Struthio camelus: one gene and its partners. The protein of the gene in region 1 interacts with the protein of each later gene in a biochemical or structural test. Links are inferred from orthologs where the notes say so. Each region holds a gene or a part of one and is shown in the gene's direction. Other genes may lie near its edges. The genes, in order: TJP1, CLDN7, KIRREL1 and claudin-4.

Region 1 (6,900 bases):
GTAAAGCATACAGTTAATTTACCTGAGCAAATAAAATTAAGAAATGAATAGGGCTCTGCTTGTTTTTGTACTGAAAAAACTCCTATGAATCAACTATATTAACCTGAAGTAATCTAATAGGAATTAAATTGTTTCTAAAACGCATGCTATGTCTGAAAAAAATGTAAGCTGCTTTCAGCTTTATGACCTGTAGTGAAGGAGAGTGTATCTTGCCAGACAGAACGAGTCTGTACAGAGAACAGTAAATATGCTCAGAGCATCTCCACTGCAGGGATAGCTACCGTATAAATTCTGGCCATAGCTCAGCTACGGGGCCGCACAAGCCTCGGAGGTAACAGTGGGATGTTTGGATACTTACCCTAATCGGGAAGCTGCTGATTGACTGCTGTTAAAAATAGGCAGTTCATCTGAAAGACAAGAAAAACAGGATCTTTTTACTCTTTCAGCTATATAGAAGATCTGTGCTTAAAACAGGATGCCCTGAAAGGAGGCATATAATGGAGCAGCACTAAGACAGAGCAGGTATGACAGAAACAGAAGAGGAATTAAAATTAGAGGATAACATGTCTTCATGAATATCTGGTTTTGTCTCTACAATATGCATCAAGGAGTATGATGATGATACATAAAACTGACAAAACCAATTAATAAGTTAGTCTCAGATTAACAGAGTATGATCAATGAAAATGATAAGAGTTAAATCTGAAATAACTAATTATTTTGCAAATGTAAATAGAATTAGGAATTCCAATTTAAGTAAGAATGGGAATCAAATTATAGGCTCTTGAAGAAGGCGAGTAAAGACTGGAATATGCAGCCAGACTCCAACATAGAGTCTTCGTGCAAATTTTTGCCTGTGCATTTCTTAACTCCTTTGTACACAGATGCTGAAAAGAAATGCATGTTTCAACTCTGATACTGTAAAAATTGAAAAAGCCATGTTTTGGGCTCAGAGTCCCTTCATCAGGTAAGGAACTCCAAAAGCTTACCCGCTTCTTCCTGTTATATTAGCTTTCAAAGAAACTTTGCTTCCCTTGTATCCTTAGACCGCCTTATCTACAAAATTTCTAACACTATAACTCTATGAAAGTCTTACCATACGACTGCATTTTTCTTTCAATAATTTCTATATCAAATATGAAACAAGATTAATATATGTTTTTCTAACTGCTAGGTATCACATTCAAACTGAAATGTGAAATTCAAACAGTTTCAGTTATAATGCAGCTAACATTCTGCTATTGATGCCAAGAATAAAATCCAGCCCACACTCATTCTCCCACTACTTATGTGGGCACCATATATTTCTTCAGTCAGCTAATGACTGTGGATACACAGAAGAAGAAAGCAACATGTCAGTTTTACAGTTCTTCTTTCTAGTCACATTTTAAGGCAAAACAAATCTCTAAAGGTTTTCAGATTCATTTGATGATCTGTCTACAGAAGATATAGACTGTCCATTCAATATACCTCAAGCTTTAGCTACATTTAACCTTCCTAATGATTTCAAGTTGACTGACCCTCATTGTTTTTAATGCTCAATCTCTCAAAAGACAACCTGCAAAGAGTATCTTGAGAGCTAAAAATGAGCAAGCTTGTGTTGGGACATTGAGTTGGCATTTGAATTTTTAAATCATCTGTGACACAGAATTTCAGGACATTTCTATATATCTCCAGTTTCTTGACTGAAAAAACAGAACCGTCCAAGTCATTAACCATAGTAATACAATTACTATGATATGTTTCTAATTAGAATCTTTTGTGCTTACGAGTAACATATTGATCTTCTCTGTCTCCTGCTTAACAGACAGGTCTTTGGAGAATGTAGTCTACTACAGTCTTAGGTACATATTACCTATAAAAAAGGAAGAAAAATAATGAAATTCTAATCTTTGAGCCTTAAAGTGACAATGCTGTTCACAGTATTTTTCCTAGTTAACAGTGCCAGCTTAATTCATCCACTCTGAGTATTGCAATTCATACAATTTACATGATAGCATCTTCATGAAAACTTGTCACTTCTGTAAGGATTTGTTTATACCTGCATTCTGCAAAACGCATACATGCTGAAACAGTACTGGGGCTGCCAAAATGCCCCAGCCGGTATCAAAAGAGCTTAAACATCCCCTAGTCTTTGATAACCTTGGGAGGAGGCAACAGAACTTTAGGCACTGAAACTTTTGACACTCAACTGCCATTTCTCACCAGAAGCATCAGAACAACTTCTATAGCACAACTCGAAAAAAGTTTTACCTGTTTTAGCAGGTTTACCATGTTATTTTAGATGTTTTGTATGTGGGTTAAGCATAATTTGAAACTTTCTGTTCGAGTACGAATTCACCATGCTGCCTTTACCCAAAGTATTTCCCACTACTATTGATCAATGTGTCAGCTAAGTGCTATCCTTCACTTCAGTGATGTTTGTACTGTAGCGGATTTCTTTGATCTTATTGTAGTATGGTTTAGAGTGAATCCTGAATGCACTTGTCAAAAACCATGACCACCTATGGCTCTTAATACTGGACTTTAGGAGAAAGGCGCGAAACAGATTAATGCTGTAACGATAATTCAGTGTCGCACCTACGGCCACTACACACTTATGTTTTCAGCTATTTTTGTCACAGTAGCCAGGAGGCAGGCACCCACCTAGAAAACATTTAATATTTTTAGTTTGATTTAATCACCATCTGATTTCCAAACACACGTTAGTTGTTTTTCTCATGTGAAAGAAGAGGGAATGATGTTTATGTCGTCTTGCCAGTAGACTCACTAGGCTTTGCACGTGCGACTTCACAACCCAGTCACTTAGGGGAGGTGCGGAGGAGGGTGCCGCAGTGGGGAGCTGCTCTCCAGCCACCTCACACCCGGAGTCTTTTCTGAAGGTGGCTTGGCTGGTGGCACGGCTCCCGCTGCAGCGCTGGCCTGCTGGCCCATCCTGGCTGCCTCCACACCTCACCTCCTGCTCAGACCCTTGCTCCCCTCACGCTCATCCTCACCTCACCTCGCCTTCAGATTGCCTCATCGTCACCTCGCCTCACCTTCGGGCTACCTCAGCCTCACCTCACCTTCTTCCTCACCTCGCCTTCCTCCTCTCCTCAGCTCGCCTCTGTTCTCGTCGTCTCATCTCACCTTCGTCCTCACCTCACTCTCACCTTCCCTTCATCTCCACACTCACCTCAACTTCCTCCTCCCCTCACCTTAACCTGGCCTTCACCCCACCTCGCCTCGCCTCGCCTCGCCTCGCCTCGCCTCCGCGCCCGCCCCGCCGCTCACCTCGCCTCGCGCCGGGGCTCAGCGGGGCCCTCGCCGCCCCCGGGGCCGCCCCCGGTGCGGGGGCGCTCGCCTCCGCAGCCCGGCACAGCTGACCCAGGGGCGGCCGCGCCAGCGGCGGGCGCGGCGTGAAGACTGCGATAAAGCGGGGCTATTCTAGGCGCTAATGGGATGAGCGGCGCGGCGGGCTGCGGCATGGCGCCGCTCTGATGGCGGGCGGGAGGGCCGGGCCGGGCCGCGCGGCCGCAGGTAACGGGCGCGGCGGGCCCGCTCGTGCGGGGGGAGGGGCGGGCCGGGCCGGGCTGCGGGAGGCGGCGCAGGTGAGGGGCGACGGGCCGGGGCCGGGGCGAGGAGCGGGAGCGGGAGGCGGCGCGGGGGGAGGGCTGGGCGCGGGAGCGAGGCGGGAGGAGGAGGAGAGCGTCAGGCGGAGCAGGGATGGAGGGAGCGCGGCGGGGGGCGGAGGAGGAGAGCGTCAGCTGGGGGCAGAGATAGAGGGAGTGCGGCAGGAGGAGGAGGAGAGGAGCGTGAGCTGGGGGGGCAGAGGCAGAGGGAGCGCGGCAGGAGGAGGAGGAGGAGGAGGGGAAGAAGCGCGACGCAGGGACGGCAGATGCCTGGAAATAAAAATTTGATGATTGCATGCAGCGGCTGGAGAGACTCTGTCGGTGGCGGCGGCGGGGACGAGGCAGGGACAGGGGGGGCGACGGCAAAATGAAGTATCAGAAATACCTGACTGTCTTGCAGATGGCCATAGGGGTGACCGCCTCCAACCGGGGCAGTCTGATGCCCTTAAAGAGGAAGCTGTGGTGAGTAGGCACGGCAGGGGCCGGCGGCACTGCGGGCCGGGGCGGCGGGCGGCGGCGGCGGCCGCGGGGCTTTTTCCTGACAGGAATAACGGCTGCGCGGGCAGCGGCGCGCTGGAAATCCGGCCCGGCGCCGCGGCAGAGCGGGCCTCGGGCGCCCGGCCGCATCTCCCCGGCGGAAAGTTGGTGGCGGATCCAGCGATGGGGCTGGGGCGGCGGCGGCGGGGGCGAGACGCTGCCCGGGCGCCCGCCATCGCGGGCTGCAGCGCGGCCGGCGGCGCGGCGCTCCCGCCCGCCCGGCCCTCCTGGCGGCTGCCAGGCCCCTCGAGGAAGGCGCGTTGTCAGGCGCTTGCCGGAGCGCGGCGGCGGCCCCGGTGTTCCCGCTGAGCGCGGTGCCTCCCCCGCGCTGCCCGGCGGCTGCCGCCCGGCAGGTGCGCTTGAGGCGGCGCGCCACGGACAACACGCTTTCGCCGCCTTCCCGCTGGTTTTGTGCTTGCTGGTGGGGGGCGCTGAACTGGCGCCCGGCGGTGGAGGGCCGGCTGTGGCAGCCCCCCCGGCAGCGGCGGGACGCGCGTCCGCGGCAGCGCTGACAGCGGGGGGGAAATGTGGGAACTGGCCGCGTCTTCTGGAGGGGGAAGCAGCGAGAGCGTTTCTACACGGGGTGGTGGTGGTGGTGGTGGTGGTGGTGGTGGTCCTGCGGTTCCCTGTCGCTGCCCTTGTGCGTCCGCGTAGGGAGCGGGGTGTCAGCGAAGGGGCGAGAGCCCTGCTGCTTAGACGGGGTCACTCACGAGTGGAAGGATGTCCGTGGCAGCGACGGCAGCACATGCGGATCTTCCATGCGCTGCCCGATTGGGGTTTTTTTTCATGTTATCAGCCGGCGTAGACAATGTCAAGGAAATACAATTGAAGAAACAATGTGGAACTAATAAGCTGCCTGATATTCATTCCAAACCTTGATGTATTACTTGCAGAAAATAAAACGACTGGACATATCCTATTCATATTAACTGTAACATACAAAATCAAATCTAGTCCTAAACAAAAATATGCTGTCATGCAGATAACTTCTATTACCTTTAATCGAATCAAAGGATTTTAGACTGTACTCAGTGCTTTGATTTTGATTATGTAAGTTACATAAAGTGCTACTACCCTACCTCTCTTATTCTCCTAAAGTGACATTCCTGTCAGTGCGCAGCAGTGTGCGTGTTGATATATTATTTCTTTTAATATTTGAATTGTGTAACACAGTGCTAGCTCTTGTGCCATATCGTATTTCCTCTGTCTTCTTGGAAATGTCGTCTTTGCTGACAAATTAAAGTGAAACTATCGATATTTGCGCACTTTAAAAAGTAAGTCTGGAAGGACCTGATACAACTCCCACTTGATGCCTTCAGTTGGAATGTAATCAGCTCTGTATTGCCTAGTTTCATGGTGAGATTCTGTGCTTTTTGAGGGATATCAAAACACTGTAATGGATCCCAAATAATACATGCTATAAGCACTGAATGTCTTAACATTTGTAGCTTGTCTTCGTGTTATTACAATGCTGTGCTGTATACAGATTTAAATGACTTAAGTGTTAGGGATAAATAAGATAAATTTTTTTTGCAGTAGAGATCTATATGAATTACTTAAGCATTTGAGAGTGTGTCTATGGGATATTTTTATTAATAGGTGACATGATATTATGTAGTCACATTTTCTTAGGGAACTTGGATAGCATTATCTGCATAGGTAGAATTTATGCTTGTGGATGAAATAGTATTTTTTTCTGATGCATTTAGAGAAATGCGTAAGGATAATTTGTCATGGCTTTTTTTTATTTGCTTTTAGTCTGTATGTATACTGTTCTTAATGCACACATTAAAGAAAAGCAAATAATAGGGAGGTGAGTATATTTTTATGACTAAAATCAAGGCAACATAGTGTATATTGCCAGCCCGGAAAGCAAAGATTTGTTCCAATGCCATATCACTGGGAACCTCCAAAATACATAAAGAAAATACATAAATCAAGTCAGCTTGCAATCAGAGGATGCTAAGACTTTATTTTTATTTATTTAAAAAAAAAAAAGAATGATGGCCATTCAGATTCGTAAGTTGCTTGATGTGTTAGTACATATTGTAAGTGGAAGCAAAACATATAATTTAATAAAAAAGGTTTAAAATACTTTTTGTTGGTGGAGATAATCCACCTGAATCCTACTGAATGAAAATGAAAAAGGTAGCAGCGATGGTCTATTTCTTTATAGAGCATCTGCCACTCTAATTTCCTCTGACTTGCCCTCCAAAATGTGAGTCCTGTTCTCTGATTTACCAAAGCACAGCTACAAATCAAAACAAAAAAGATGGACCCTGATTGGTATAAACTAGCTGGGAATAAAACGAACAGAAAATTGGACAAAAAAGGAAGGAAGCTGTGCCCTGGGCTTGCAGCTGGAAGTGCTGGAGCCAGAAACTTAACTGTGTTTAATGTGGAGTTTGATCATTTTATGAAGAGGTTTACCTGGTGTAGTAGAGTTCTGCGCTCGGTGATCAGGGAAGTTGCTGGAGTCCCGATTTGCTGATTCAGACCCTGTTCGGTGTCTATGTTGTAATCTAATATGTAGAAACCAGAAATGAGATGAGTAGGATGTTTTTAATCTTACTGCAGAGTTTAACAAGTCAGTAAGCTGTCTTCAGGGCACGAGTCGCCTTCCAGATCAGGGCAGAGACAACATGAGAAGCTTGCACTATTTCTGTCTATTTTGTACCTGTTTTCTGCACAGACAATTTTCTTTTCTGAGGTTGTCCAATAACGTTTCTTAGCAGCACTGCCTTTATTTTCT
Region 2 (7,009 bases), on another chromosome or scaffold:
CACCACCCAGTCTGGTCCTTCCAGACCCCACCAGCTCCTCTGTAGCTCCACCCACTCTTCGAGGCCATGCCCATACCTGGCCACGCCCATGTGAACCAGGCCCCTCCCTCAGCTCAGGACACCACATGGGCCACACACCCCTTCTGCCAGGCCACGCCCTCATCTCCAGGCCACACCCATTCCCATGAAAGCCCTGCCCACTCCTGTCTGGCTCCACCCACTCCACCTGGGCCCCACCTGTTTTGTGCAATCCCCGCCCACTCCCACCAGACCACACCCACCCCTCACAGGCCCCACCTACTCCAGCCAGGCTCCTCCCCCCCACCTGACTGAGCCAATCCCAGCCACTTCAGGACTCCCCCTACCCTGGCCCGGGTATATTTGCATCTCATTAATATGCCTGGTACAGACCACGCCTTCTCATGGGGGGATTGGTCCTCCTGGCTATAGAGCCAGACAATGGTGGGCCTGAGAGGCTGGTGCCACTCTAGACACCCTGTTTGTCTATGGTTTGCTTGCGGCACCCTGGTGCTTCCAGCCCCCATGGAGTCCTCTAAACCATAGAGATAGGGCTAGAGCAGCCCTCAGAGCCACTCTGTACCTTCATGAGGCCTTGCTCATCTCTTCTCTCTTTGGTCACAGGGGCCAGCTAGAGCTGCCAGGGTTTGGAGTCCTCCAGACCATAGAGACCTGTCCCCAGGGTGACCTCCATAGAGCCACTCTGTGCCTGTGTGCAGCCGTTTTCTATGGTCATAGAGCACTTCTCCAGCACCAAGGGCTTGGAGTCTTCCAGACCACAGAGGTGGAGCTAGAGGGGCCCCTTCCCCGGAGCCGCTCTGCACTACCATGGAGCCCTGCTTGGCGGTCCCCCCTCCGTGAGCATAGAGACTGCCGAGCTGCAGCTAGAGCAACCCCTCCAGAGAGCCATTCTGCACCGCCATGGCGCCCTGCTCTATGGTCTTCTCCTTCCCGGATCCCCTGCGACCATAGAGCCCTGTGCCCAGAGCGGTGCCCCAGCGCATGCCCCGGGGCATTGTGGGACTTCAGCCAACGAGCCTGGTGCATCATGGGACACTGGCTGACTTCTGGACTGCTGCGGCTGCTGACTCCAGGGCATGATGGGAGCCGGGTCGGCCCAGGCCCGCCCTTTGCCTCCCACCAGGAGCATCATGGGAAGGAGGTCCTGGGCTCAGGGGCATGATGGGACATGGGGGCCTCCAGCCCCTCCCCCAAGGGAAAAAAAAAACGTCTGGCAGTCAAAAATTCCCCCCTTAAAGGGATTTTCCCCCTTTTAAAGGGGCAGAATTGGAGGGCGGGGGAGTGGGCACTGTTTTTTGTCCGGGGAAGCAAAACACTCTTAAAGGGGTGGGCGGGACCCATGGCCCAATGGGAGCATTTGTCTGCCGACAAAAAAAAAAAAAAGGCTCTTAAAGGGGTGAGGACAAGCCCGCAGGGCCAATAGTTGTCTTTAGACAGAAAAAAAAAAAAAAACAGTCTTAAAGGGATGGCAATGGAGGTGGTGGCTCAATATTTGTCTGCAGGCGAAAACAAAAAAGGAGACTTAAAGGGGCAGGGGCGAGGGCAGGAGCTTCTTAAAGGGACAGGCTCTCCCTGCAGCCCCGGGCAGCGCAGAGGGGCCCAAGGCTCTTAAAGGGGTGGGTGGCCATGTTGGATGACCCATGACCCCTCCACTGGGCATCAATGGCGCTTCTTAAAGGGACGGTTGACTGTTATTTTATAGGCTCGATGTTGATATCTAGCTCTATGTTTAAAGGGGCAGGTGTGTCCCCCCCCCCACGCCCGCCATTTTATCTCCCCAATAAGCTGTTCTTAAAGGGATGATTGCGTCAGTCATCTTGTAATGCCTCTCCAGAATATTTGTCTGTAGATGAAAAAAAATTGAAGCTTAAAGGGATGCCCCAGGGGGCTGGTTTGGGCCGCCCGACGGAATATTTGTACACAAAAAAAATGTGTTTCCTCTTAAAGGGCTGCTCCAAGGCAGCCATCTTGTTCGTCCACCTTGTAGGGGGGGAGTCGCTTAATGGGGGGGGGGGGTCCCACACGGGTGTTGCCATGTTGTGTCCCCCCATGGAGGGGGCAGCTCTGGGGTTCCCCCAACAACCCCTCCTCCCCCCCCCCACCGGTTACACCAAGGACCCAGGAGTCCGGGGTGGTGGAGGGGGGGACATCCCTCCCCATGGCACCGGCGGGGATGGAAGACTACAGCTCCCGGCATGCCCTGCGGACGGAAAATGGCCGCCCGGAAGCTCGGTGCCGGAGGACTACATCTCCCGGCATGCCCTGCGGACGGAAAATGGCCGCCCGGAAGCTCGGTGCCGGAGGACTACATCTCCCGGCATGCCCTGCGGACGGAAAATGGCCGCCCGGAAGCTCGGTGCCGGAGGACTACATCTCCCGGCATGCCCTGCGGACGGAAAATGGCCGCCCGGAAGCTCGGTGCCGGAGGACTACAGCTCCCGGCATGCCTCGGGAGGCGGCGCTCGGTCGGGTTTGACCCTGCGCTGTTGCCGTCCGTCCCGCCGCGCGTTGCGTTGCGAAGCGCCGTTGGAGGCGCCGGGCCGAACCGGGCCAGAGCCGAACCGAACCGAACCGAGCCGGGAAGAGCCGGGCCGGGCTGAACCGAGCCGGACCGAGCCGGACCGGGCCAGAGCCGGACCAAGCTGAGCCGGGCCGGGCTGAACCGAGCCGGGCGGGCCGAACCGAACTGGGCCAGAGCCCAACCGAACCGAGCCAGGGAGAGCCGGGCCGGGCTGAACCGAGCCGAACCGGGCAGAGCCGGGCCAGGCCAAACCGGGCCAGAGCTGAGCTGAGCCGGGCCAAACCGGGCCAGAGCTGAGCCGGGCCGGGCCGGGCCGGGCCAGGCCAGGCAGAGCTGGACCGGGCCGAGCCGAGCCGAACCGGGTCGGGCAGAGCCGACCGAGCATCTTCCCCAAGCAGAACCGGCCGCGGCGGCTGCCCAGAGGCCCCTGCGCAGGGGGCGGCTGCGGGACGGCGGCGCCGCGAATCCGCCCGAAAAACCCGCCCTGACAACGAGGAGGGGGGAGAATAAAGCGAAAAACAAACCAAAACGCCGTAAATAAAACACCGGAGCTGCCGGCCCGACCCAGTCCGGGGCCTCCTTCGGCCTCGCCTGCGCCCGGCCCCGGCCGGGGAGCGAAGGGGCACGTGCAGGGGGAACAGCTGGAGCCTGGGAGGGGACAGGGGACGGGGTACAGCTTGGTGGGGGGTACCGGGATGGGGTACGAGGTACAGCTCGGTGCCAGGACAGGTGCACAGCTCGGCCAGGGGTCCCGGGACGTGGTACAGGGTACGGCTTGTCCAGGGGTACCGGGACGTGGTAGGGGGTACAGCTCATCCAGGGGTCCTGGGACGTGGTACAGGGGTACAGCTCGGCCAGGGGTACTGAGATGTGGCACAGGATGAGGCTCCTCCAGGGGTACTGGGATGCGGTACAGGGTACAGCTCGGCCAGGGGTACTGAGATGTGGCACAGGATGAGGCTCCTCCAGGGGTACCGGGATGCGGTACAAGGTACAGCTCGTCCCAGGGGTACCGGGATGCGGTACAGGGTACAGCTCGTCCAGGGGTACTGGGACGCAGTACAGGGTACAGCTCGTCCAGGGGTACTGAGATGTGGCACAGGATGAGGCTCCTCCAGGGGTACTGGGATGCGGTACAGGGTACAGCTCGTCCAGGGGTACTGAGATGTGGCACAGGATGAGGCTCCTCCAGGGGTACCGGGATGCGGTACAGGGTACAGCTCGTCCCAGGGGTACCGGGACGCGGTACAGGGTACAGCTCGTCCAGGGGTACCGGGACACAGCACGGGGTACAGCTCATCCAGGGGGACCCAGGACGCGGTCCAGGCTGCAGCTGGGTGCCAGCAGCACCGCGGGGGTCCCGGGGCCGGGAGACCCCCCCCACTCCCGCACCTCCTTGGCCCCCCCGGCGCCGCCCCGCTGACGTCAGGCGCAGCCCGGCCCCTATATACAGGTGCGCGCACCTGCCCGGCCGCTCCTGCCGCGCTCGGCCGCCTCGCGCTCGCTCGGGGCCACCGCCGCCGCCGCCGCCGAGCCCCCTCCCCGCGGGCGTCTTCGCCCTCGTCCCCTCGGTGTCCCAGCGCCGTCGCCGCCGCGCTCGGCCGGCTCCGCTCGGCCAAGGTCTCCCGCGGGCCAGGTTTGTTGATTTTTTTCCCCCTCGTCCTCCCTCCTCCTCCTCTTGCAGCCTGGATGGGGCCTCCCTGTCCGTCCGTCCGGGCTCCCACCGCTCGCGTAGGGGCTGGGGAAGCCCCCGGCGGCGGCGTTTGCTCAGCCCTCTCGTCCCCGCAGGGCTCGCGGCCGCCCGCCTCGGCGCAGGGTCCCCCCGCGGCCGCCCCGGCCTCGCCGGCGGGGCCATGGCCAACGCCGGGCTGCAGCTGCTGGGCTTCGGGCTGGCGGTGACCGGCTGGCTGGCCCTGGTGGTGGCCACCGCGCTGCCCCAGTGGCAGATGTCGTCCTACGCCGGCGACAGCATCATCACGGCGGTGGCCATGTACAAGGGGCTCTGGATGTCGTGCGTCTCCCAGAGCACGGGGCAGATCCAGTGCAAGGTCTACGACTCGCTGCTCAGCCTCTCCGGTGAGCTGGGCGCAGGAGCCGGGCGGTTTGGGGCAAGAACCGGAGGGTTTGGGGCAGGAGTCGGGGGGTTTGGGGCAAGAACCGGAGGGTTTGGGGCAGGAGTCGGGGGGTTTGGGGCAAGAACCGGAGGGTTTGGGGCAGGAGCCAGGGGTTTCGGGGCAGGAACTGGAGGTTTTGAGGCAGGAACTGGAGGGTTTGGGGCAAGAACTAGAGGGTTTGGGGCAGGAGCTGGGGGGTTTGGGGCAAGAGTCAGGGGGTTTGGGGCAAGAACTGGAGGGTTTGGGGCAGGAGCTGGGGGGTTTGGGGCAGGAACCGGAGGTTTTGGGGCAGGAACCGGGGGGTTTGGGGCAGGAGCTGGGGGGTTTGGGGCAGGAACCAGAGGGTTTGGGGCAAGAACTGGAGGTTTTGGGGCAAGAACTGGAGGTTTGGGGGCAGGAACTGGAGGGTTTGGGGCAAGAACTAGAGGGTTTGGGCCAGGAGCTGGGGGGTTTGGGGCAAGAGTCAGGTGGTTTGGGGCAAGAACCGGAGGGTTTGGGGCAGGAACCGGAGGGTTTGGGGCAGGAGCTGGGGGGTTTTGGGGCAGGAACTGGAGGTTTGGGGGCAGGAACTGGAGGTTTGGGGGCAGGAACTGGAGGGTTTGGGGCAGGAACTGGAGGTTTGGGGGCAGGAACTGGAGGTTTGGGGCAAAAACCGGAGGGTTTGGGGCAGGAGTTGGGGGGTTTGGGGCAAGAACCGGAGGGTTTGGGGCAGGAGCTGGGGGGTTTGGGGCAAGAACCGGAGGGTTTGGGGCAGGAGCTGGGGGGTTTGGGGCAGAAACCAGAAGGTTTTGGGGAAGAACTGGAGGGTTTGGGGCAGGAACCAGGATTTAGTGCAGGAACCAGAGGGTTTGGCACAGGGAACTGGAGGTTTCGGGGCAGGAACTGGAGGGTTTGGGGCAGAAACCAGAGGATTTAGGGCAGGAACCAGAGTTTGGGGCAGGAACCAGAGGGTTTGGCACAGGGAACCGGGGGTTTCGGGGCAGGAACCGGGGGTTTCGGGGCAGGAACTGGAGGTTTCGGGGCAGGAACTGGAGGGTTTTGAGGAAGAACCGGAGGATTTCGGTCAGGAACCCGAGTTTGGGGCAGGAACCAGAGGGTTTGGCAGAGGGAACTGGGGGTTTCGGGGCAGGAACCGGGGGATTTAGGGCAGGAACCAGGGTTTGGGGCAGGAACCGGAGGTTTTGGCTTTGTCTGGGCTCTGCCAGCCCCGGGTGGGGCCGGGCAGACCTGAGCGACCGGCCGGGCCGGTTGGGGGGAGGGGGGACTTCCCCCGGACACCTGGGCCCTCTGGAAGGGCGCATGGGGAGGGGGGACTCTGGGTCGGTGGCAGGAGGCAGCCCGGACGCCTGGGCCCTCGCCGGCCCCGGCTGGTGGCTGGAGACCGACCCGCTATCGCCTTATCGGAGTTGGCAGCGGGAGCCAAACCACAGGGGTCACAAGGGCACCCGGACTCCTGGGCCCGCTGGGAGGGAAGCGGCGGCGCCGATCAGGGTTGCCTGGACGCCGGGGTCCCCGGGGGGGGAAGCAGGGCCCCCCCCTCCTCCCCCGGACGCCTGGGTCCCCACGGGGTGCCCGGACGCCTGGGTCCCCTCCCAGCCGGCGGGCAGCGGAGCGGAGTTGGAGGAAGGAGCCCAGGCGTCCGGGCCGCCGGAGGCAGCCGAAAATCCCCCTGAGCCGTTTCCTGGTGCCGGAAGGCGCACCTGGATCGGGTGTCCTCCCGTCCCGGCCGCCCCCGGGGGCCCAGGCGTCCGGGAGGGCCAGGCCCTGCCTTTGGTTTCGCTGAAACTCGGCGGCGTTGTCCGGGAGGGGGGAGCCCGTGAGTCAGCGGGGAGCAGCCGTTGGGGTGGGTCCCCGCCGTGGGGCTGGGGCCAAAGTCCCCCCCGCCCGGGGCGAGGCCGTGGGGCGCGTCCAGGAGCCGGGGTGGCGCCAGAGCCCTGGGTTGGGGGGGGGGCCCAGGCGTCCGGGGATGTCCCACGGCTCTGACACCCATCACGGGACCCAGGCGTCCGGGGGTGCCCCACAACCCCAACACCCATCAGGGGGCCCAGGCGTTCAGGGCTGCCCGAGGGCCCAGGCATCCCAGGGGACCCAGGCGTCCGGGGGTGCCCCATGGCCCAGGCATCCAGGGGGACCCAGGTGTCCGGGGGTGCCCCACAACCCTGACACCCATCGGGGACCCAGCTGTCTGGGGGTGCCCGAGGGCCCAGGCATCCCGGGGGACCCAGGCGTCCGGGGGTGCCCCATGGCCCAGGCGTCCGGGGGGACCTAGGCGTCCGGGGGGACCCAGGTGTCCGGGGGTGCCCCACAACCCCGACACCCATCGGGGGCCCAGGCG
Region 3 (7,029 bases), on another chromosome or scaffold:
GTCACTCCAGCAGGAGCGCGTGAAGGCGGGCACAGAGGCTTCCTCATAATTGCTTGGAAAAAAAAAAAAAATGAAGAGACCTAACGTGGGTCAGAAACGCCAGGGTGGAATTCTCTGGCCTGCCCGGTTATTTAAGGAAGGAAATTCACCTGCTTTTCCCTGTCGAGGTGCTTTTCATAAGCTCGCAAATTATTTTTCCGCTCCCCGCCATTCCACATGGAGGAGCAGAAAGCGCAACCCGTTCCCCTCACTCCATTGCAGCTGGGCTCCTCAGGGTGGCAAAGGGGTCTCCACTGGCGTGAGGACTCTGGGGCCCCAACGCCCCAGGCACCAGTGAGCCCATGGGCCCCAACCAGGGCCAGCTAACGAGCGGGTTCGTTAGCCATTCCGCTCCAGCGCACCTCTCGTAATGAGCAAAGGCGAGCGGCTGCCTCTAAATGGGTTCTGGAAGCTGCTCGGAGACATTAGGCTCTGTATAAATATCATTATGATTGTTATTATTATTGGCACAGATGGGCTTTCATGGACCGCCGCGCACCACGGGAGTTCCTGTTCTGCCGCCGGCGCTCGGCGAGTGGGAGAAAACAAATTGCTGATGCCAGCTCCGGCTCGGCGCGCAGAGAGCAGTGGGCTCCGGCGGGAGAGTGGATGCCGGGTGCTGCCCTGTGCCCCAGGAACCATTCGTGCCACAGCTGGATGGGCCCTGGCAGTGCCGGCGAGACACCACGGTGGTGGGCTCGGCCCGGAGGAACAGCACCTGAGCCCAGCCACCGGGGGGGTCACGTTGCCCCAGGGCTGGCTGCACCGCAGGGTTTACTCATGCCGCCCTCACGCCAGGGTTGATGGGCCCTTGGTTGGACGCTGCCTCTGCGAGGTACAGAGCAGGTCTTGCCCTGCCACCTGGCAGCAATTTCGGCCCTCGCTTCCTCCCTGATGTTCTGTGGCAGCTGTGAGCAGGTTTCCTGGAGCTGGGAGGGGGGGTTCCCGCATGACCTGGGTTGCTTTTTGCCCGTTTGCATGAGGTTGGGTTCTCCCCCCCTCATTCCCTGCTGCGCTCAGTATCCATCGCTGCTCTCGAAGGCTCGGCCACAGGGAATTTTCTTCGCCGCCCCTCCACCCCCCTGGCTGCTGCATTTGTGCTTCTTCTCTCCTCCCCATCAGCAAATTCCCCTTGGCTGCCGCTCCTCCCTGACCTCTTCCCTCCCTTCGGGCTTGACGCCTCCTGCACCTTTATCTCGCCTCCAGCGGCGGCGGCAATCTCCTCTCCTCCACACATTCCTCAGGGCGGCAGGGACTAGCACCACAGGGCCAGGGGTTATGACTTTTAATAAAATATCCTTTATTTCCAGCTCCTTTTATCACTGCCGTTGGTTCTGGCCGTCTCCGAAGCCGGCGGGGACGGGTGGCCCCGACGTCCCATGGCCCAGCTGGGCTCTACCTCCTGGCCCACCAGCAGCACCCGGAGGGCAAAAGGGTGCGGGAGGATGAGGAGGGTGAGCGGGACCAGTGGCAGAGGCAGGTTTGGGCTCTGCAGCGGCTACCTCGGCGGGTGCGAGCGGCAGAGCCAAGCCGATTTCAGCAGAGGGCAGCACAAAGCCACTGAAACCGGAGCACCGGAGCCTGGCTGCAGCCCGCGGGGGCCAGAGCCTCACAGCGGGGCCTCTGCCCTCGGCGCCCCCGAAACGCCCCGCTGCTGCTGGGGTGAAACCGTCCTGGGGAATGGCCCTGGTGCTGCTGATGCTCAGAGAGGAGCTGCAGCCAAAAAGCCCCTTGCAAAGGTCGAGAGGAAGAGGAGGCGGCGGCGAAGGCCCTCGCCTCCCCGCTGCAACGCCAGAGGAAGCGGCAAGGGCAGCTGGCGAGCTGCGGATCGCCGGCACCCGCGGCACTCTGAGGTGCTTGCTCGGTGCCGCGGCCAGCTCAGCAGAGAAACTGAGCTGGGGCCCAAGTCACTCGGCACAGCTTACCCAAGAAACCCGTGCTATGGCCAAGAGATTAGCCTTTCCGATAGCCCAAGCGGCAGCTCAGTGGCTTTAAGTCCTTCCCCGAATCACCCCAGGCTGGTCACTCCCGCGCTCCTACACCCTTGGCAAAGCTCGGAGTAGCCGCCAAAGTATGGGAGCTGCCTGCTGACTCAGGCAGGCAGCCGAGTGCTGGTTCCCATTTGCAATGTTTTCTCTAAAACCCTCAGGGCTAGAAATTCTATTAAAAAAAAAACCCAACAAAAAAAAAAAACCATGAAAGCTGAAGCTTCTGCCTCTACCAAGGGCTTAGCCCACTCCACTCCACTTGGAAAGCTTCCCTTCCCAGGAGCCTGTAGGCAAGAGGATTTTTCAAGCCACTAATATCCAGGGCCTTTAGTTAGAGCTTATAAACTTTTCAAAAGAGAAATAGAAAGAGGAAAAGATAAAAGTATATATGTGTTGCAGAAAGGAGAAACTGCCTGGAAGAGCGGCGGTGTGGCAAGCGGTCCTGGCTCCGCTCCATCCTGGGGCATCATCCAGCAGCTGGGGGCTCCAGGCCAGCTCTGCCCGGCTCTTCACCGCACTGGGATCCTCCGTTAGTGTCCCGCACTGACGACCTGTCCCTGTTCAGGCAGCTGGCACACAACCCCCAGCACGTCTGCAGGCACCCGAACACCCTCCCTACACCCAAATACCCACGGCCCCACACATGGGGCGGCCCAGCATACACCCGCACGCTCACGCACAAATGTGTAAATGCATACCATACCCCCCCCCGACACCCACAACGTGCACAGAGGCTAGTGTACACACAAAGCTATACACATCCCAACACACATGAAAACACACCCCTGCATGCAACCTCCCACGCAAGCACTTTGACATAAGCGCGCACACACACACACACACACACACTCCCCAGCATGCATGAGTATGGATGCACACAGACATGCGCTCACACACACATATGCAGCCCAGCATGCATGCACATGCATACACACACACACACACACACACACACACAAACACACACAGAGGCACAAAAACCCCCATCATGCGCCCCTGCCAACATGCACACATGCAAATTCCCCCATCATGCTGGCACACACCCACATACACCCAAACAGCACCATACACCCAAAAACCTGTGCACACAAACACACACACCAACAAGCACCTCAACATGCATGCACACACACTCGCATGCCAGCATGCACACACACACACGCACACACACATATATACACCAACCACATATATACACCAATATGCACACACATGCTAACACACATGGACACATCCCCCCACGCACACACACTGACACAGACCAACATGCATGCACACCAACACGTGTGCACACCCCCACCCTGCACCAAACACTAACATGCACACACCAACAGGCACGAACACACGCTAACATGCACACATACGTACACGCACAAATGGACACCAGCACGCACAAACACACGCTAACATGCACAAACACACACCAACATGTACACATGCACCCCTCAGTGTGCACAAACACTCACCAACATGCACAAACATGAACATGCAACCCTAGCCATGCACAAACACATATTAGCATGCCCTTATGCACGAACCAACATGCACTAACACACACGGAGATGCACATACGCACACACCAACGTGTGCACCCCTCGCCATGCACAAATACATATTAGCGTGCACTTATACATATGCACGAGCATGCACAAACACACACATGCACAGACCAACATGCATAAACACACATCGACACGCACATATGCACCCCTTTCACCACGCACAAACACTAACGCACACGCATCCACACCGCCCCCTCCTCCCCAACTTCGCGAGTTGCGCGGCCCGGCCGGCGCCGCCGCCCCCCGCCCCGCCCTGCCCGCCCCCCCGGCGGCCGCGCGCACTCGGCGGCGCGGCTGGGCGCGGAGCGAGCGGAGCCCGCGGCCCGGGCCCGTCCCCGTGGCGTCGCGTCGCCCGCCCCGCCCGGCCGGACCATGGTGTAGCGGCGGCGCCGGGGCGCGGGGCAGCGCGGCGGGGGCGAGCAGGGCGGCGCGGGGCAGCGGCCCCCCCCGGCGCCCCGTGCCCGCAGCCCGGCCACGACGGGAGCATGTGGATCCTCCTCCTCTGCCTCCTGACTCTCGCCAGCACCCGCGGCCAAGGTAGGAACCGGCCGCGGCACCGGCACCCGCCCGCCCGCCGGCGCCTCCCAACTTGGGGGCACGGGTCCGGCTCGGCCCGGCGCCGGCTCCGCTCCGGCCCCGTCCTGGGGGCGCCCGGGTTCGGTCGTGCGGGGGGAGCCCGAGCTCGGTTCTCGGCGACCCCCCCCGGGCTCGGTGCTCGACGGAGCGCTGTGCTGAGTCCTGTCGCGCCGCTTCGGGTCCTGGTTCCCTCCCCCCCCCCCCCCCGGTCTGGGTCGGTCCCGGCTCGAGGCTGCCGCAGCCCCGGGCAGGGGGAGCGGGGGGCCCGTCGGGGGGCGGGCAGGGGGCTGGAACGGGGCGAGGGGGCCCAGCAGCACCCTGCGCCGAGCAGCGGGGCGCCGGGGCCGGCGAGGACCCGGCCCGTCCGTCTGTCCGTCCGTCTGCAAAGGAAAAACTCCTGGGGGACGCCTGCGCCCCCGAGGGGGAGCCCCGCGTTGACCCCCCTCCCCCGCCGGGCCCTGGGCACTGAACCCTGTCGCGGGGGGAGCAGCCCAACCCGCCCCGCGCCCCCCTCTGTCCCCTCACAGGGCCGTGGTGAGGAGGGAGAAACTGAGGCACGGGGAGTTGCTCACTCGAGGGTGCGCGGAGCAGGAGGGGTGGATTGAGGACGACCCCGGAGCCGCCCCAGCTGGCAGCTCGGACGTGAGGTCCCCCGGGGTCTGCGCGGCAAGGGGAGCAGGGAAAGGCACCACACGTGCAATGAACTTGCAGTGTCTCCGGCCAGGTCGTCCGTTCCGTGCGGCAGGAAGGCAGCGGGGCCCGGGACTGGCAGCCCCCTGCCGTGGGTCTGCAGGTACCCAGGGGCGAGCTCCCGTGCCACAGCCAGGGCAAGGAGCGAGCAGGGGGCATCACCCTGTGCTGAGCCAGCCCCTCCGTAGCCTCCAGGTCCTTCCCTGCTGCAAAATCCAATCTAATTTTTAATTAAGGGGGCGGTGTTGCTAAGATGCCAGGGGGAAAAAAAAAAAGAGTCGAACTGGGGTTTAAAAGGAGCATGCAAAGCCTCTTAGAGGGCCGGGGCCAGGCGAGCAGATCCCAGGCTCCCCCGCGCCAAGCTCGGGGAGGCACCATGGGGCTTCGCTGCCCTCCTAGGAACAAAAGCGCTCGCTCTCCTGTACCGTGCCATGTGGAGCTCGTTGGTGAGGAGGGCAGAGCTCTGGCATTGCCTGCCTCCTCTCTCTTTTTTTATTTTTTTTCCCCTCATTTAATAACTCTTGGAGGAGAGGGGGGGAGAAAAATTTAAAAAAGCCGGTTGGCTGGGCCTGGGGTAAACAGGCTGCCTGGAGGGAGCTCTGCGCTCGCCCCAGAGCAGTGGATGCATTCCTGCGTGAGGGAGGAGGGATGACTTCCCCGGGCGAGCGGCCCCGTCACAGTGCCTGGCCGCGGCGCTCCCTGCCGAGGCTGCTAAGTTTCTCTGTCATCAGAGAGGAGCGATTGTGCTGCCTTTCTCTAAAGACAGGGGTGTCCAGGGTGGGAGGGGGGTTCTGCCATCTGCTGCTGGCAAAATATAGGGCTCCCCCCCCCCCCCCGCCAACCCACTTTGCAAAGGGGATGTGTAGAAATGAGCATGCTGCACTGCATGTGCATGCATGTGCACACATGTGCATGCGTGCGTGTGCATGCCGGCGTGTCGCGGTGGGGGAGGCGATCAGGGCCATTCATGCCGTTGCACACTGGCACACGCTCGCACAAAGATGTTGAATGGGTTTCATCACTCTTCATTTCTCACTAAATAATTTTCTGTATCTTATCTAAATGAAACCCATTATTCTTCCCCCCATTTCAATCACTCGCTGTGATTGCTCCTCAAATTGAAATATTTATTCATTTTCTGGGTGATTCTTTTTCTCTTCCTCTCTGTGTTTTTTTTTTTTTTTTCCCTCTCTTCCCTCTTCCCTCTCAAGGAAGAGCAGCAACACTGAAACAGCAGAGATTGCGGCCGATGGGAGCAGGATGCAGCAGCAGCCAGGCCCTGGGGGGACATGGGGTGGCAGGAAGAGGGGCTTTGGTGCTGGCGTTTCCCATGGAAAGGCAGTGCGTGCTGGCGGGCCACTCGCCCCGTCGGCTGTGTGAACGCTGCCTTTGGCGCCCTCTCCCCCCCCCCACTGCGCTGAGACCCTGCGTGCTCGCTGCATGCTCTGGGATGAGCCTGGGTGCTCCCTTTAAAGGCATCAGCCCGGTCACTTTTCTTGCCGTGTTTGCGAGGGGTCGGGGGGCGCTGTGCATTCGTCACCCGTCATGCCCAAGCGGGGCATAGCCAGCACCAGGATTCCTGGGTCCTCTGCCCAGCTCTGTGGTAGCAGGAGCCAGGATTGGGCCGGTCCCTCTGTCCAGTGCTGGTGGCTTTTCCAGGTGCCTTCCTCCACCAGCATGGGCGGACGGACGGGTGCAGGGCATGAGCCACGTGCGTAGCGAGCATGAGCAGATCCTGAGCCCCCATGCAGGGAGGGTGGATGCACCCTGCTGTTCCCAGGTATTTCGGCAGAGACTACATGGGCCGCCTGCCTCGGTGGCCCTGCCACCAGAGCTGTGCTGGTACAATGGGATTTGCAAGATGACCGTTGCCTGCTGCAGGGCAATAAAAGCCCCTGCGAGACGTTGCTGTGCTGGAGCGTGGCAGAGGGGGAGGAAGGTGGTAGAGGAAGGCTCTGGCCCCAGGTTCCTGATGCTGAAGAGTTTTGTCACCCAGCCCCCTATCAATGGGACAAGGAGGGATGGAGAAGGCCGAGGGGCCGCGGGCAGGAGCCTTGTCAGTCAGCGCCAAGGGAGCCGGGGGGTTCCCGGGCCTCCTGCGCGGTTCCGCTGCCCCAAGCTGGCAGCAAGGAAGAGGAGGGATTGCAAGCACCACCAGAGACTGCAAATGCTTC
Region 4 (7,327 bases), on another chromosome or scaffold:
GAAATGCCACCCCTGTCATAGGCAGACACGTGCTTTAGGTCCTCTTGCACCGAGATCCCTGCCCAGCATAGGGATCCTTGCAGACGTCCTTTGCCCTTGCACAAGGTCGGTGGCAGTCCAGCATGCCTTTTGTGCAGCACCTCCATGGGCTCTGAGCAGCGCAGGAGCAGCACCTCCATGGGCTCCTTCTACCTGACACAGATCCCCCCACAGAGGGTCTTACAGCCCAGCTATGGGGCCATATGGGGCTGGAGCATTTCCCCTTCTCCTGGTGAAGTGGTTCTCATTTGCGGAGTGCAGTTGTGCATTTTCTGAGCTGCGGGGATGGGGTGAGGGGCTGGTGGCTGAGACAGGAGCCTTGCCCTCTCAGACCTGGTGTGATGCTTTGCGTCGGTGCGTGGTGGAGCAGGGACTGGAGCTCCGCAAACTTTCTGCAAACTTTTTCTTTCCTGCAGATGCCTTGAATTCAGAGCAGTACACTCACCTCCCAGGTGGATGCTGGTGGAGGTGCAAAGCAGCGAAGGCCCAGGATGGGGTGAGCATCCCATTTTGGTGGGGAGGAGCTGCCAGTTGAACAGACAGTCCATTGCCCCATGCTAGCTGCTGGGGCAGGTTGGAAAGGTCCCACTAGGGTGAGCTGTGTCCCTTCTTCAGGTCTGGAGAGAGGTGGGCGTCTTCTTTCAATCTCTTTGTAGTTCAGGGTCTGGAAAACTCTGGTTGCTTTGCATAATGTATCTTTATGCACGGGTATGGGCAAGACCCTTTGGGTGCTCTTGAAGAGCTGCCCTTGCTGGGGTGGTGCAGGTTGGTGCTCTGCATGGCAGTGGTGTGCTGTGGCATGGACTGGGGCCTGTGCTGAGCCAGCAGCTCACCAGCAGAGCCGGGGTGAGCCAGAGGGGAGGAGAGCACTCCAGGTGCTGTGGTCCCTGGGTAAGTGCTGGGATCAGGGCTGCACATGTACTCCTGGACGGAGCGCTGCTCGAAGCCAGATCTTAGTTAGATGCACCTTGGCATCCCTGTTGTGGGCAGCTGGGACCGGGCTGTGTTGCTGTGGTGTGGCGTCCACGCAGTGATTGCCTCATAGAGCGTGTGCTAAGCTATTCAGAGGTGCCTAGGTCTCGCTTGTGCTTCACTAACATCCTCTGGCCAGGGCTTGATGTTCATCAAGGATGGGATGCTGCTGCGAGAGTCAGCTGCTGCTCTTCTGCTCCCTGTCCAGCCGCTCGGCTTGCATCTGCACATCCTAATGGCTGTGCTTGCTCCAAGCACCTCCGTAGCGGTGCCGGGGGCTGGCCCACAGCACTGATCCAGCTGCAGGAAAACCCAGACTGAGTCTGTTCCCTGGTGCAGGTTTCTGGCTAGCTGAACAGCACTTGTGTTTGCTCGGTGAATGAGCTGCTGGGGAATGTGGGGAAGGGCATGAGGGGTGTTTCTTGGTGGCAGACACCAATTTAAACATGTCACGTTCTGGCCTTAATTACAGGAATCAGTTGTCAGTGAGCCTTTCTGGCGCCTGCTTTGGCTCTCCAGGCTCCATGGGTGAGCGTGAACTGCCCGGCTCAGGCGTTTGAAGTTCTGCATGTGGAGGAGTCCCTCTCCCCACCTTGCCATCTATCCCCAGCCCGGAGGCATGTCTCCATGTGCCTAGGGAGTTGCAGCCCACAGGAGGCAGCCAGAGTTTTCGTATGTAGATGTGTGCACGCGTGTGTGCATTCCTGTCTCCAACCCCAAATAACTCAGTGGTTAGAGCAGCAGTCTGGGAGGCAAGAGCAACATTCAGCCTCAGGCAGAGTTAAGTCCCGATGTCGCGTCCCTTGAAAAGTGCCCCAGCCAGAGGATGCTCTGGAGTGGGGCGGATCAGTCCTTGCTGCTCCCCTGCAGATTAAAGGGAACCTGACCACTGGGCTCCACTCTCTTTGGCTCAAGGGACAAGCTGGTGTTCCAACAATGTGGGTGCTCCAGCAGTGGAGATGGACTGAGGAGCATCTCAGGGTAAACAGAGTCTGGGTGGGGACCAAATCTGTCCTCCACGCAGGCAGCACAGGGATCTGGGCTGGTCTTCTATGTCCTTCCCCGCTCAGCTCCCCCTGCTCTGAGCTGTGCATGCACGTGGCAGAGCTGGGAAGACACCGGCTTGTTCCTCGTGAGGGTTCCTGGGCCATGACCTGGAGCTAGACCCAGGTGCCCTCATCCCTGGGCACCCACGAGCTGCCTCTCCCTTGCACTCGTCTCCTGCCTGTTGGCTCCTGCCTCAGCCAGATGTGAAGAGCCTGAGCCCAGGTGCTGGCTGGGATCCTTGCAGCACCGACTCACTGCAGCCTGTGCTGGTGCACGGCTGCAGTAGCTGTACTGCCATCCTTGGTGAGTGCAGTACCGGTGTGATCAGCCTCATGGGCATGGACATGGCTCATTCTGCTGCCTAGGATGAGAGCCTCAAAGTTTGGCTGTTCCTACCCCATCATCCTTGGTACCCACGGACAGGGGCAGCTCTGCCCACAAACCTTTGTCAAGGTTGTTTCCTTCTACTGAAGGTCTTCTCTGCTTGCACATACATCACTTGGTGTGGATGGCCAGAGACATCCAAGGCACACTACAGTCAGAGTTGGCTCAAGAGATTGTTGTGCTGAACAATTAGCCCAAGTAATTATGTCCTGTCAGTAATCTTCCATCCCACTTCCTCAGCAGGAGTTCAGCCTGGTGAGTGACACTCCAGGGAGCAGCCCGGACCAGCCTTCCCCCACAGCCAAACTCGGCACCTGGGAGGGCTGGGCTCCCCACACCCCCAGTTCACAAACCCGACTCAGTTGTGGTGCTCACCTGCAACCCACAACTCAGTCTGGCCCCACAAAAGGTTTCCTAATAACTTATCTACCCGGCACTTGAGTGTTCAGAAAAACTAAAACAGTCTCAGGCCATGTTATCTATCCCAAAGTCTCACAATTAAGCTGGAGTGGTAACTGTGCATGTCTGTCTGTCTGTCCATCCTTGAGGTCTGTCTGGCCTCATCCTGCGCCAGCGGTGGAGACACTTCAGAGGCCACCCTAGGGAGCAGGAGATGCAAAGAGGAGGTGTGTGGGCTCATAGATTAAAGAAGGAGAGGTCTGGCAGAGCCTCAAAGCTCCCAAACAGCATCTGCAGAGCTTAGGCCAGTGGGTATGGCCAGCTGTGCCATGCGTGCCGAAATGCCGAACGACACTGTCAGCACCATGTGGCCACAGCATCCCTGCTGCCCTGAGGGCACTGAGCACCTGGCTCCTGCTCATGCTAGCAAGCTCAGGGCGCTTCACAGCACCACGATGCCTCGATGCTGGTGCTGAAAGATTCCTGCGATGCTGGTGGTGTCACCTACACCTTGTGTAGAGACGTTTGCTGGCTCTCTCTTCTAGGCCAGGTATTGGGTGTGCTGAACCCTTTCCCTGTTTTGTGAACCAGATCTCTTGGGTCAGGACCAGGAGATAAGGGAAGACCACAGTAGTTGCCTCATTTTGCGCCTGTTACCTTTTGGGAAGCAGAAACTCTGGTGCACACGAACGGTTCACCTGGGAACACGCTGCGTGTGTGCCTTGGGAGCCTGCATGTCCTGAGCAGCAACAGGAAAACCAGGAAGCAAAATGCTTGGCTGCAAGGCGGCTGTGCAAGTGGTTGGGAAGCAGCTGCTTAACATCCCGGCTGCTTGCTTTCCCTATGCATGTTTCTGTTGTTTCCCAGGCCTGAACCGCCCTAAGCCAGATTACGTTGCCCTTGCTCTGCTCCCACCGCTGGGAGTGACTCTGCTGCTCGCCTTGGGGTCCCCGTAGGGTTCCCCACTTGTCTTCCACCTGCCTGCCTGCCCCACACTCCTCACGCTCCTGCAAAGTGAGGCCAAGCCATATGCTGGGCCTGTGTTGCAATAAGTCCTTCCCTGGGCAGCTCTTTCCTCCCGCAAGCTATGAGCGGAGCTGATGGACTCTTCCTGCCCAGCTTCAGTTTTGGGTTGTTGCCCTTTGCAGCCCACGTGGCTCAAGGCCAGACCCCCGTGCCTGCCCCGTGCAGCCCCGATGAGCCCCCCCATCACTGCACCCCATCCCCAGCTGGCTGGCTGGGAGTGTGGGGAACAGGGTGGTGGGACGCCCGCAGCTGGCTATGTTGGGAAAGAGGGCTGTCATGTGAACTCAGGCTTCACAGAGAAGCGAAAGGTGGGGTGGTTTGTGGGGTCTGCCGCCTCCCCTCGCCCCAGGCAGCGCCATCTCTCCTCCCCAGCAAGCCTGCAGCAGCTCCAACCGGTTTGTGGGTCTCCGTGGCGGGTGGCGACACCTCCTGCCTGAGGCCTAATTGAGGGATGAGAAGCGATTGTCAGACGCCAAGGAACAAACAAGAGCCGCTTGTGCCCTGGGAGGGAATGGAGCCGAGCAGGATGGGCTGAGAGCTTCTGTGGCACGCCGGTGGGGAGAGACGTGCTGCTTCCCTCTGCATGGGAGGAGCTCAGTACCCCGGCGGGGACACATCGCCACTGGGTCGGTGGTGAGCAGCCGGCCTGCATAGGACTGCAGCAGGAACAGCCGCCCCATGAGCTGGGGGGAATCTGAGGCACAAAAGTCTGAGGTGACTCCATCCAGGTCTTGAAGCTGGAGGCACCTGGGAGGACAGCAGAAAATCCTGATCCCTGGACGCCTGCTCTTTCTCTTCAGCATCCCACGACCCCAGGGCTTTTCAAGCTGAGCCTCAGAGTCTGCTCCTGTCCCATCTGGGCACCTGCCTGCGTGCCAAACGGCAGGCAGAAGGAAGCATTCCTGCTGGGCTCTCCCCATGCCAGGCTAGCCTGATCCCAGTCCCCTGCATCCTTCTTTGGGAGCAGCAGGAATATTAAGTGTCATTGCTGTGGGCAGAAATATGAGTGGAGGAATCTCGGGAAACTGGTTTTACCCCTTCGTCCTGTGCCGACTGGATGGAGCAAGGGGACTGGAGCTCCTCCCTCGGCGAAGGCATATAATGCCTCCAATGGTCCCGGGAGCCAGCACTGCATTGCGGGAGCCAGGCACGCGTGTCGGTGCGGGCCGAGCGTCGGGCAGTGAGCAATGGCTTCCATGGGGCTGCAGGTGCTGGGCATTGCCCTCTCCGTCATCGGCTGGCTGGGCACCATCCTGTGCTGCGCGCTGCCCATGTGGCGGGTGACGGCCTTCATCGGCAACAACATCGTGGTGGCCCAGATCATCTGGGAAGGGCTGTGGATGAACTGCGTGGTGCAGAGCACGGGGCAGATGCAGTGCAGGGTGTACGACTCCATGCTGGCGCTGCCCCAGGACCTGCAGGCTGCTCGCGCCCTTGTGGTCATCGCCATCGTGCTGGCCGTGCTGGGCACCGTGCTTGCCATTGCTGGAGGGAAGTGCACCAACTGCGTGGAGGACGACACTGCCAAGGCCAAGGTCATGATCATCTCTGGTATCATCTTCATCATTGCCGGCATCATGATACTCATCCCCATCTCCTGGTCGGCCAACACCATCATCCGGGACTTCTACAACCCACTGGTCACAGAGTCCCAGAAGCGGGACCTAGGGTCCTCCCTGTATGTCGGCTGGGCGGCCTCTGCCCTGCTCCTCACTGGCGGGGGGATCCTCTGCTGCACCTGCCCCCGGCGGAGTGAGAAACCCTACTCTGCCAAGTACACGGCGTCTCGCTCAGTGCCAGCCAGCAACTACGTGTAGGAACTGCTCCGTGCACCGCAGGGCTGCTCCCCCCGCAGCCTGGTGGCTTGGCACATAACCCAGACGCCTCTCTCCTGTGCAGACCGCCACCGCGACCAGGCTCCTGCTGCCCTGCTTGAGCTGCAGCACCCGCTGAGCTCAGCTCACCGCTCTGCACCTGCCGTAGGGATGTACCCACTCGGGGCTCCCCACAGCTCCCATGCTGCAGGGCAGCTTGCGGACTGGCATTGCTCCCCGCAGCCAGGCCACCGGGGTGGCTGCCTGCCTGTCCCCAGGGAGCCAGGGCCAGCAACAGCTGTGGGGCTATGTGGTCCCCAGTGCTAAGCATCTAGCACTGCTTCTCGTTTTGCTGGAGCAGAGAAAAACCTTCAAGGTCCTGCGGCAAGCCCAGCCTGGCCTGCTGACCCTCCTTGCCGGTGGGTTCGAGGCTGCCCTGGGCCTGTGCATGCACTGCTTGTGCAGCATCCAGGGACGCAGCGCTCGCGGGACGGGGAGGAAAGGGTGCTGAGGCAGCACGGAGAGGCAGGCGTGCGAGGGAGAGCAGACAGACCTGCCTTTGTTCGCCTGGTGATTGAAGCTGGATCTTTAATCTCAGCCGAGACAGAGAACAGAGAAGTCCTGTCCTGGCTGCCCTCCCCCTGCAACCTGCTGGACGTGGGGCCCCCGCTTCCCGGGCTGGCAGCCCCCGTCTCTGCTGCCGGCACACGCTGCCCCGGGCACAGCTGGTGTCTCCAGGAGGGGAAACCCAGCTGCGTCCCTGTGAGAGCACCATCTTTGGAAACACCCCAGGGCTCTGACTGCTGGTATCGAGGTGCGCCGTGCTGTGTCACGGCTCTGAGTGCCCCCAGGTGCCTGTCCCCGTGGGTGGCACGGGGCTCCATCCCCATCGCCTCTCTGCGTCCCCTGGCTGGTTTGCCCAAGCCCTGCTGCAGAAGCCACTACGCTGGGTAAACCAACTTGCAACACCTCGAGCGTGTGTCCGTCGGAGCAGGTGGTGGGGCTGGCGGGGACCGGGCAGGGGCGCGAGCAGTGATGACAAACCTTTCCCGTGTGGCTCAGCCTCACATTGCCCCAGGGCACATGGTGGCTTGGGAAACCCTGGCATGGTCTGCAGGGGGGCTGGGAGCTCTCATCCCATTCTGCCCTGAGTTTTTACTTTGACCTACTTTTGGGGCTTCTATTTGTGTCGCTGTACATATTTATTATTCCTCTCGGCAGCTCTCCGGGGCGGGGGTATCATTATCCTGGGAGTGGGACCACAGCGGCTAAGCTGGGAGAACCGGTTGGGGTGGCAGGAGCAGAGCTGAGCAGGTGAGCAGGGGCTGCACACAGGTGTTTCTGTTGGTGGCCCTAGCGTGGAGGAGACCAGCTCCTGAGACCTGACCCTGCGGCATGGGGCACATAGAGCCCCATGGCCCGCCTCGCCGCCAGCAGAGTTGCTGATAGGCACCCCAGGCTGGATGCAACTTTCCAAGAAGCCAGCAGGTGTGCGGGGTGCCCAGGCCAGCCCTTTCCTGGCTACCGGGCATGAATCCAGGCAGGATAGGGTGACTCGTGTTGCCGTCTGTGCCTGCCAGCCGTGGTGCCATCTGCCCGCTGTGGCACAGACATCCCACATTAAATGGTAGCTGCTCAGACCCCAC

What was found.
Region 2: the proteins of TJP1 (region 1) and CLDN7 form a complex in vitro, tested with the Homo sapiens proteins (2 studies listed by BioGRID and IntAct, with this or other methods). The link is inferred for Struthio camelus from reciprocal best matches to the Homo sapiens genes TJP1 and CLDN7.
Region 3: the proteins of TJP1 (region 1) and KIRREL1 form a complex in vitro, tested with the Homo sapiens proteins (3 studies listed by BioGRID and IntAct, with this or other methods). The link is inferred for Struthio camelus from reciprocal best matches to the Homo sapiens genes TJP1 and KIRREL1.
Region 4: the proteins of TJP1 (region 1) and claudin-4 form a complex in vitro, tested with the Homo sapiens proteins (2 studies listed by BioGRID and IntAct, with this or other methods). The link is inferred for Struthio camelus from reciprocal best matches to the Homo sapiens genes TJP1 and CLDN4.

The regions. Positions count from the first base shown.
Region 1 is NC_090953.1:18,421,091-18,427,990, forward strand, and holds the start of TJP1 (tight junction protein ZO-1), read left to right. Parts: upstream 1-3,900; 5' UTR 3,901-3,906; coding exon 3,907-4,073; intron 4,074-6,900. UniProt on the Homo sapiens protein: TJP1, TJP2, and TJP3 are closely related scaffolding proteins that link tight junction (TJ) transmembrane proteins such as claudins, junctional adhesion molecules, and occludin to the actin cytoskeleton.
Region 2 is NW_027182697.1:13,105-20,113, reverse strand, and holds the start of CLDN7 (claudin-7), read left to right. Parts: upstream 1-3,992; 5' UTR 3,993-4,196; intron 4,197-4,348; 5' UTR 4,349-4,413; coding exon 4,414-4,636; intron 4,637-7,009. UniProt on the Homo sapiens protein: Plays a major role in tight junction-specific obliteration of the intercellular space.
Region 3 is NC_090971.1:5,250,328-5,257,356, forward strand, and holds the start of KIRREL1 (kin of IRRE-like protein 1), read left to right. Parts: upstream 1-4,008; 5' UTR 4,009-4,074; coding exon 4,075-4,126; intron 4,127-7,029. UniProt on the Homo sapiens protein: Required for proper function of the glomerular filtration barrier. It is involved in the maintenance of a stable podocyte architecture with interdigitating foot processes connected by specialized cell-cell junctions, known as the slit diaphragm.
Region 4 is NC_090957.1:9,877,814-9,885,140, forward strand, and holds claudin-4, read left to right. Parts: upstream 1-4,326; 5' UTR 4,327-5,054; coding exon 5,055-5,684; 3' UTR 5,685-7,319; downstream 7,320-7,327. UniProt on the Homo sapiens protein: Can associate with other claudins to regulate tight junction structural and functional strand dynamics.